Drosophila melanogaster: one gene and its partner. The protein of the gene in region 1 interacts with the protein of each later gene in a biochemical or structural test. Each region holds a gene or a part of one and is shown on either strand. Other genes may lie near its edges.

Region 1 (4,978 bases):
GGTGCCACAGCGTTTTCACCACGTGCGCGTTGGACACGGGAATCCGCTGCACTTCCTCGTAGCTCTTAGTGCTGTAGAAATACAGGTTCGCTTCGGCCTGGCCCTTCGGAAGCGATTCTCCGGTGACTAGCAGACGGTCATCTGGACTAAAGCAGCAATCTGTTGTGTCGTAGCGGGAGAACAGGTTTGTCCAGGTATGCAGCGGCTGTTTGAACTGCCGCAGATCCCAAAGCTTCATGGTCTCGTCGTTGCTGCGAGTGGCCAACTGCTGACCCATGTACGAGAACACAATGGAGGTGATCTCCGAACCCTTCTGATGCGCATCCCTGACGCAGTGCGTGGTGTTCACAAACATCTTGCGCGTGTCCCACGTCTGAATGGAACCATCCACGCAGCCCGCTGCTATGAGTGTGGCGTCCCTGTTAAAGTTGCATGATGCTGCGTTGGTGCGGAGGCCTCCCTGCGCCCTTGTCTTGATCACCTGCAACTGTTCCTTGGACTTCAATCCCTGCCAGATGCGCAGAGTACCGTCGAGAGCTGCGGTCAGGAACTGCTCCCTGTTAAATGGATGCCAGCAGCCGGAGGTCAACTGTGCCACGTGGCCCTTGGTGCGCGACATGTCCGAGATATACTGGTCGCCCTTGCAGCACTCCAGTTTCTCGAATCCATCGCGGTCGAGGACCTTGGCCTGGGCGTTTCCGGAGATGACCAGGATCATGTCGCCGGTCACGGAGTACTGGAGAGAACGTATGGGATGGTTCTCGCACGGCTGCAGTTGCCGGAAGCTACGCATGCTCGAGTCCATGCCGGCGAAATCCCAGAAGCACATATCGTAGTCTATGGAACCAGAGACCAAGCGGGCACCCGAGGGATCGCCAGCCAGGGCAAGGACAGCGCGGGAACCGTGCTGCATCTGCACCTCGTGTGTGTAGGGTATGCGCTTAGCAAGGCTTTGTTCGTCATCTGAATCTTCATCGGACGAATAATCATCGTCATCGGAGTCTTCGTCTTTGGACGATTCCTTCGTGGCTTTCTCCTTGTCTGTGGTCACAGCTGGTGGTAGGGGACCTATTACGTCCTCCTCTTCCTCGTCTTTCTGGTCATCCTCCTTCGGCTTGGACTCCTCCCTTTTTTTGTCCATTCCCGGGCGGGTAACTCTCGCCTTTTCTATCTGCTCGTTGATGTCGAACACCTTGGCCGCCTTGCGACCAAAGCCACTGATGCCCATCACTTCCTTGAGGTGCTGGCTCTCCAGATCTTCGGCCACGTCCTCGATCTGCCGAATCATCTGCTCCTTGTCCATTTTCTTGAATCCTCCGCCATTTCCGCTGGCTTCAGTGGACTCCTTTGCATCTTCCGCCTCGGTTTCGTTGGATCTTGGCTCCGCAGGAGGTACGTTTACATTCAGTTTGATTTTCCCGAAGGAAATTTTACCGCGTTGCATAGTTTTAAGGCCCCACGCTAAGTGGATTTTCAAATTTTTAATTAAAACTATATTTCTCTGAAAATATGCGGTAAATATTTTGTAAACAAGTGAATTAAGTGACCGTTTATATTCGGACTGTCAATTTGGTATTTTAAAAGATCGAGCGAATTGTTATGGTCTTTAAATAAGCTCTGGCTTGCCCATTAAAATTTTTCAATTTAATAATGACTCATATATTGTTCATGTATTGCAAACAAGATATATATAAACAATAAAGGAAACTGCATTGGAATATTAAGAGTTTATATCGATTGCAATTTAAGAATAGTGCACTCAAAAATACTAAACACACATACGGTCACTCTAATATAGCTGACTGGCGTCTAACCTAAAATTAGGCGCGCAGTGTTGTTTTGTGTCTGCCGGAATTATTGTAAATTGGTGACAATTTCGCAAGGCGGCGTAATACATAGTTGATCTATTATCTTGTTACTGGAGAGGAAGAAGTGCAGGATGACAGACTCTCTGGAGTACAACGACATAAACGCCGAAGTGCGCGGAGTCTTGGTGAGTCGCAAAAAAGCCGGCGTATTTTGTCACATTTCGCATGACCGAGGTTTTCCATTTCCCTGCGCGCAAAAAAGTGTTCCGGACGCCTAAAGATGACCGAGCAGAACATCATCTTCAAGAACACCAAGACCGGCAAGGTGGAGCAGATCTCGGCAGAGGACATAGACCTGATCAATTCGCAGAAGTTCGTGGGCACCTGGGGACTGAGGGTGTTCACCAAAGGCGGCGTGCTCCACCGCTTCACCGGATTCCGCGACAGCGAGCACGAGAAGCTGGGCAAGTTTATCAAGGCTGCCTACTCGCAGGAGATGGTCGAGAAGGAGATGTGCGTCAAGGGCTGGAACTGGGGCACCGCCCGCTTCATGGGCTCCGTCCTGAGCTTCGACAAGGAGTCGAAGACCATCTTCGAGGTGCCGCTGTCGCACGTTTCGCAGTGCGTGACCGGCAAGAACGAGGTCACCCTGGAGTTCCACCAAAACGACGATGCGCCCGTGGGTCTACTGGAGATGCGGTTCCACATACCCGCCGTGGAGTCGGCCGAGGAGGATCCGGTAGACAAGTTCCACCAGAACGTAATGAGCAAGGCCTCGGTCATCTCGGCTTCGGGCGAGTCCATCGCCATTTTCAGAGAGATCCAGATCCTCACGCCTCGCGGTCGCTATGACATCAAGATCTTCTCGACCTTCTTCCAGCTGCACGGCAAGACGTTCGACTACAAGATTCCCATGGACTCGGTGCTGCGGCTCTTCATGCTGCCCCACAAAGACAGTCGACAGATGTTCTTTGTGCTCTCCTTGGATCCGCCCATCAAGCAGGGACAAACGCGTTACCACTACCTGGTCCTGCTGTTTGCTCCCGATGAGGAGACCACCATTGAGCTGCCATTCTCGGAAGCCGAGTTGCGAGACAAGTACGAGGGCAAGCTGGAGAAAGAGATCTCCGGGCCGGTGTACGAGGTGATGGGCAAAGTGATGAAGGTGCTGATCGGTCGAAAAATTACCGGACCCGGTAACTTTATCGGACACTCTGGCACGGCTGCAGTGGGCTGCTCGTTCAAGGCTGCAGCTGGATATCTGTATCCCCTGGAGCGAGGATTCATCTATATCCACAAGCCACCGCTGCATATCCGCTTTGAGGAGATTAGTTCTGTGAACTTTGCCCGCAGCGGCGGATCCACGCGATCTTTCGACTTCGAAGTGACGCTCAAGAACGGAACTGTTCACATCTTCTCCTCCATCGAGAAGGAGGAGTATGCCAAGCTCTTCGACTACATCACACAGAAGAAGTTGCATGTCAGCAACATGGGCAAGGACAAGAGCGGCTACAAGGACGTGGACTTTGGTGATTCGGACAACGAGAACGAACCAGATGCCTATCTGGCTCGCCTCAAGGCTGAGGCGAGGGAAAAGGAGGAGGACGACGACGATGGCGACTCGGATGAAGAGTCCACGGATGAGGACTTCAAGCCCAACGAGAACGAGTCCGATGTGGCCGAGGAGTATGACAGCAACGTGGAGAGTGATTCGGACGATGACAGCGATGCTAGTGGCGGCGGAGGCGACAGCGACGGCGCCAAGAAAAAGAAGGAGAAGAAGTCCGAGAAGAAAGAGAAAAAGGAGAAAAAACACAAGGAGAAGGAGAGAACAGTGAGTAATGTTTGCTTATTATTATAGCTTATGGTAACATGTTTTTATATGTTTTTATAGAAGAAACCCTCCAAGAAGAAGAAGGACTCTGGCAAACCCAAGCGCGCCACCACCGCTTTCATGCTCTGGCTGAACGACACGCGCGAGAGCATCAAGAGGGAAAATCCGGGCATAAAGGTTACCGAGATCGCCAAGAAGGGCGGCGAGATGTGGAAGGAGCTGAAGGACAAGTCCAAGTGGGAGGATGCGGCGGCCAAGGACAAGCAGCGCTACCACGACGAGATGCGCAACTACAAGCCTGAAGCGGGCGGTGACAGCGACAACGAGAAGGGTGGAAAGTCCTCCAAGAAGCGCAAGACGGAGCCTTCTCCATCCAAGAAGGCGAATACCTCGGGCAGCGGCTTCAAGAGCAAGGAGTACATTTCGGACGACGACTCCACCAGCTCCGACGACGAGAAGGACAACGAGCCTGCCAAGAAGAAGAGCAAGCCCCCATCCGACGGCGATGCCAAGAAGAAAAAGGCCAAGAGCGAGAGCGAACCGGAGGAGAGCGAGGAGGACAGCAATGCCAGCGATGAGGATGAGGAAGATGAGGCCAGTGATTAGGGCCATAAACACAACAAATCAATTCCATAAACACACACCACGCTCCTCACACACCCATGTCCCAAATCTAGTTTACATTCGCCTAGTTTAGTTAAGTGCTGCCTGTTGGATACAGACCCATACGTTTTTGTTTAATTAAAACTCAACAACAATTCGAAAGTTCAAGTAATTAAACAGAATTGATAATTGCCCGTAATGATTGATATCTATCGATTATGGTTTCGCTTGACTGGCTTTTGCCACTTTCGTCAACATTATAATGCCACAGTTTGCCAGTTTTTAATGGCTCTTTGGTGAACTTAGTGATGGCCACGTTGACAGAGTTATTCCTCTTGTTTGGGCTGTGGCACATTTTGCAGGCAAGTTCGACCGTAAGCTAGGCCGGCTGGGATTATGAACCGAACACTAGCTCACTTCAGGTCCAAGGAGTTGCCAAGTTCACAAACATCGAGTGCCTGAGTGCGGACGAAAACTTCACCACCGTTTCCCTGTGCCGATTGTACGCCGTAAAGAGGGATGTCGTCGAAATGAGTCTGCGGGCCAACATCCTGCGATGGCCAAAAGGTCCGGTATCGGTGAGTTAGTTTGCAAAGCTAGGGCGTTCCTGAATGCCATAGTTGAATAGCTATCTATAGTAGAAAATGCGAGTCCAAAACACTAGTAATTAAACAACTTGAAACCTATCCATGCCTAAAACCAATTTATGTTTTGAATTAATGAAATAACTATA
Region 2 (3,713 bases), on another chromosome or scaffold:
CCTCGACGCCATTTGCCTTCGTACTTAGCTATGCAAAGCTCATTTATCCTAAATGAAAGAGCGCTTTAGTTAAATGGACAAAAGAAAACGGCGAGTAACTTTACGGCGGTGCGTAGGTTGCGCACTTGGCAATCTTTTCACCATACTCCTGTATGTCTCGCTGCATTTTGGTGACTTCGTAAGCCAGATCTATGGAGGTGCAGTAGATAAAGCCGCACTGGATGAATGTGTTGTCCATTACCACTACATTTATGTTCTTTCCGCAGTGCAAGGGAATGTATGGAAGACACTGAAACCGAATAAATGCAAATGACAACTGTGTACTTGATGTTTTTTTAAGTTCTGGCTTACGTCCTCTTTGTATCCCAAGTCCGAGACAGACGGCTCAACAGGAGTTAGGATGGTCTTGAAAAGGCGGTTGAGGCTCCTATTAATATCGATCTCGGTCATCACCACGACCTGCATGCCCTTGCTGGTATCGTACTCACGTGACGAGTACTTGATATTAAAAACTAGGGACTGGTCGAGTTCGTACATGACTTCCCTTATGTTGGGACCCACAAAGCGCCTGGGAACTCCGCGTAATTTAACGGCTACGGGATAGCAGGTCAAACCAGCTAAATACGAACTGCATTCATACAGTCTTTCCAGCTGCGTGACTTCAACACTTCCGAAATCAATGAACACTACATAGATTTCCTTGATATTATCCACGTTTAGCACCATGGCGCGCGACATATGTCCCTCGAACTTGTAGAGCACAATTTGTCCGCAGACTGGCGTACTCTGCAGTTTGGAGGCATCTTTGCCCAGCATCATTACCTCCGTGAGAACTGTATAATAGGCGATGTCAATCTGAATGTCCGCCGAGCGCACATAGACCACGTTAGTCTGCTCGAATGCAGTAATTCTCACTTTAGATCCAGACGGCGGCAAGCCGGGTTTGGGGTACTTCCGGCCCACCTTTTCGTCAAGGTTAAGTATCTCACCCTTGCCGCAAGCTTGCTTATGCTGCTCTGCCACATCGGCGAAACAGGAGGCATTGCAGAAGGGCATTTTGCACAGCTTGCAGAAAGTGTCTGTCCAGTTTTGACAAACCACGCACTTGCTGACGCCGTCTTCCAGCAGGCTTTTAGTTTTATCCTCTTCGGTGACAGCAACCGTTGACCTGAGTGATGCAGAAACTATACTCGTTAGCTAATCAAGGGCACGTGACCAGGTGGCTATACTAACAAAGGAATCGTTCTGCCCGAACGAAAGTGCAGAACGACCTGCGGGATTCTGGTCTCATCCTTAAGCTTGTAGATATCATGGCGCTCCAGTGCGAATTCGTACTTTACATTGAGATAGCGTTGAATGGGGTCGTTGGTGGCCAACAATGAACCTCTTTTGTAATCATCTTTGGTGACCAGCGGTGGCCGGAAGAACTCCGGATGATTTTGTCCTCCGGTCGAGATCGGAACCTCTCTGTTGTGATTCACTGGCGTACGTTCAGTGGCCGAAATTGCTGGGCCTGGTGTTGGCATTGGCTCAGTGGAAGTCACCGGATCGCTGGTGATTTCCCGCTCCTTTTGCGGGCGACCAGTGATGCACTTGATCAGGTTCGGGTAACGCTGCACCCGCTGTTGCGCTGTCTCCAGGGATCTGGAAAAAGGATTATACGCTCGAAATATTGAATGACCTGCGAAAGTGCTTGAAGAAACTCACGCGATATTTTCAAAGTAGACAAAGTATACGCGTGACAAGCGGCGGAACTCCATCTCCTTGATGAGCGCCCGACCGAAGAAGTTGATTAGCATCTTTTCGGTCACATAGGGACTGCTTTTTGGAACCACCAAGTATGGATACTTCGCCTGCCTGGTGGCACGTTGCTCCTTTTCGTCCTTTGGCGGCAGCGGGGCTTCCATGATTAGTTTCTGGCCAGACTCGTTAGTGTAACGGTTGCCCACTTGGTCATAGTATTCCCTGGACATTGGATCGAATGCGGACCAATCATCCTGCGAGGATTCGGATTCCATTGCACCTGAGCTTTAAAATTTCACCTGAATTCGAATTGCAAGCGCGTGCGAGTGTGACCGTTTTCTATGCTGTCAGAAGTATGTTGCTATTGTAACTGTTGTTGAAGTCAGCAAACGGTCACACTGGCACTAGTGAAAAAAACCAAGCCGATTTTAAATATTGTAAACAATCTTGTAAAAACACAATAAAAAATGGTTAAAAACGAGCCCAACTTCGTGGTGGAGCGCATCATGGACAAGCGCATTACCAGCGAAGGCAAGGTTGAGTACTACATCAAGTGGCGTGGCTACACGTCGGCGGACAACACCTGGGAGCCCGAGGAGAACTGCGATTGCCCGAATCTCATCCAGAAATTCGAGGAGTCGCGCGCCAAGTCCAAGAAGCGCGGCGAGAAGAAACCCAAGTGCGAAGAGATCCAGAAGCTGCGCGGCTACGAGCGCGGCTTGGAGCTGGCCGAGATCGTGGGCGCAACGGATGTGACGGGCGACATCAAGTATCTGGTGCGCTGGCAGTTCTGCGACGAGTTCGACTTGGTGCCATCGGCACAGATCGTGGAGAAGGATCCGCAAATGCTGATTGACTATTTCCAGAAGATGGCACCTTACTCCCGTCACATTGCGATGCGAATGAAGGGCGTGCCGGAGGAGCTGCGTTTGGCGGCCTCGCGCACCAGTTATCCGCACATTAGCAGTGCGCCCGTCGAAGTGCCGCCGGAGGTGGATCAGTCCGCTGAGTTGGCTGGACATCTTGGTGGAATCGCGCCACAGGTGGACCAGGCGCCGCAGCACCATGCACCCATGGATCTAGCCAATGATACCGACGATTTGGCTAGTGTTTCGTACTCGATTCCCGTGCCCGGCGTTGGCGACATTGCCATCGATGTGCCCATGGCGGAAAATCAATAAGGACGCGAGCAGAATCGACTGTTCAGTCTTTAATCTAAGCCCCTAAGTTTAATTCATACATATGTATAGCTATCTGAAACCACTGGGTTCGTCCAGATTCATGTGACCCAACTGGCCGGAGCGAAAGAAGTGAATGAACTTTCGCGCGGCCGCCAATAAATTTGTCATCACCTCCACGCGTCCGTCGTACTGCTTGACCTTGTGGAATAGCTCCTCCCGATGAGCGTACTCCGCCAGCACGGCGCTGATGTCGTCACTGGGTCCGGAGCTGAGCTTTAGCATCTCCACGTAGTCGTATTTGCGGTGGCTATTCAGCCAGTACAGCAGATAGTCGGCTATCAGATCCTCGCCCACAATATGATCGGGAAGGCAGCCCACCAGGGCCAGTTTCATGCCCATTTCATCATCCTTAATGGAGGGCTGGAGGATGCCGGGTGTGTCGATCATGTAAACAGGCGGATTCTCTTGGATTTTGATGCGTTCGCCGACGGATCGAGTTATACCCGCCTCGGCACCCACGCGTGCGGCGCTCTTCTTCTTGAGATGCACATTTCGCAGCACATTGATCACGGAACTCTTGCCCACATTGGGCACGCCGATGATCATCAGATTGTGCTCGGCAGCTTGGGTGCGATTGAAGCGACTGCTCTCGCTCACGAGGCGCGTTGCCAGGGGCAGGATGTCCAGCACGCCGTTGTTGCGCTGATCCTTGCAGTTGGTGAACAGGATGTGCTGCAGTTCGGGCTGCTGTCTCCTCAGCTGCTGGAGCACGCTCTTCTGCTGTTTGGC

The links.
Region 2: the proteins of Ssrp (region 1) and HP1c form a complex in vitro, tested with the Drosophila melanogaster proteins (one study listed by BioGRID).

The regions. Positions count from the first base shown.
Region 1 is NT_033778.4:23,805,825-23,810,802, reverse strand, and holds Ssrp (structure specific recognition protein), read left to right. Parts: upstream 1-1,798; 5' UTR 1,799-1,939; coding exon 1,940-1,993; intron 1,994-2,070; coding exon 2,071-3,642; intron 3,643-3,702; coding exon 3,703-4,248; 3' UTR 4,249-4,442; downstream 4,443-4,978. Other genes in the region: CG5543 (uncharacterized protein), read right to left, coding at 1-1,444; CG5539 (uncharacterized protein), read right to left, coding at 4,974-4,978; CG13561 (uncharacterized protein), read left to right, coding at 4,554-4,607, 4,668-4,823. UniProt on the Drosophila melanogaster protein: Component of the FACT complex, a general chromatin factor that acts to reorganize nucleosomes. The FACT complex is involved in multiple processes that require DNA as a template such as mRNA elongation, DNA replication and DNA repair.
Region 2 is NT_033777.3:22,743,507-22,747,219, forward strand, and holds HP1c (heterochromatin protein 1c), read left to right. Parts: upstream 1-2,113; 5' UTR 2,114-2,210; coding exon 2,211-2,924; 3' UTR 2,925-2,993; downstream 2,994-3,713. Other genes in the region: vret (vreteno), read right to left, coding at 1-48, 105-289, 352-1,168, 1,234-1,644, 1,708-2,018; CG17141 (uncharacterized protein), read right to left, coding at 2,994-3,713.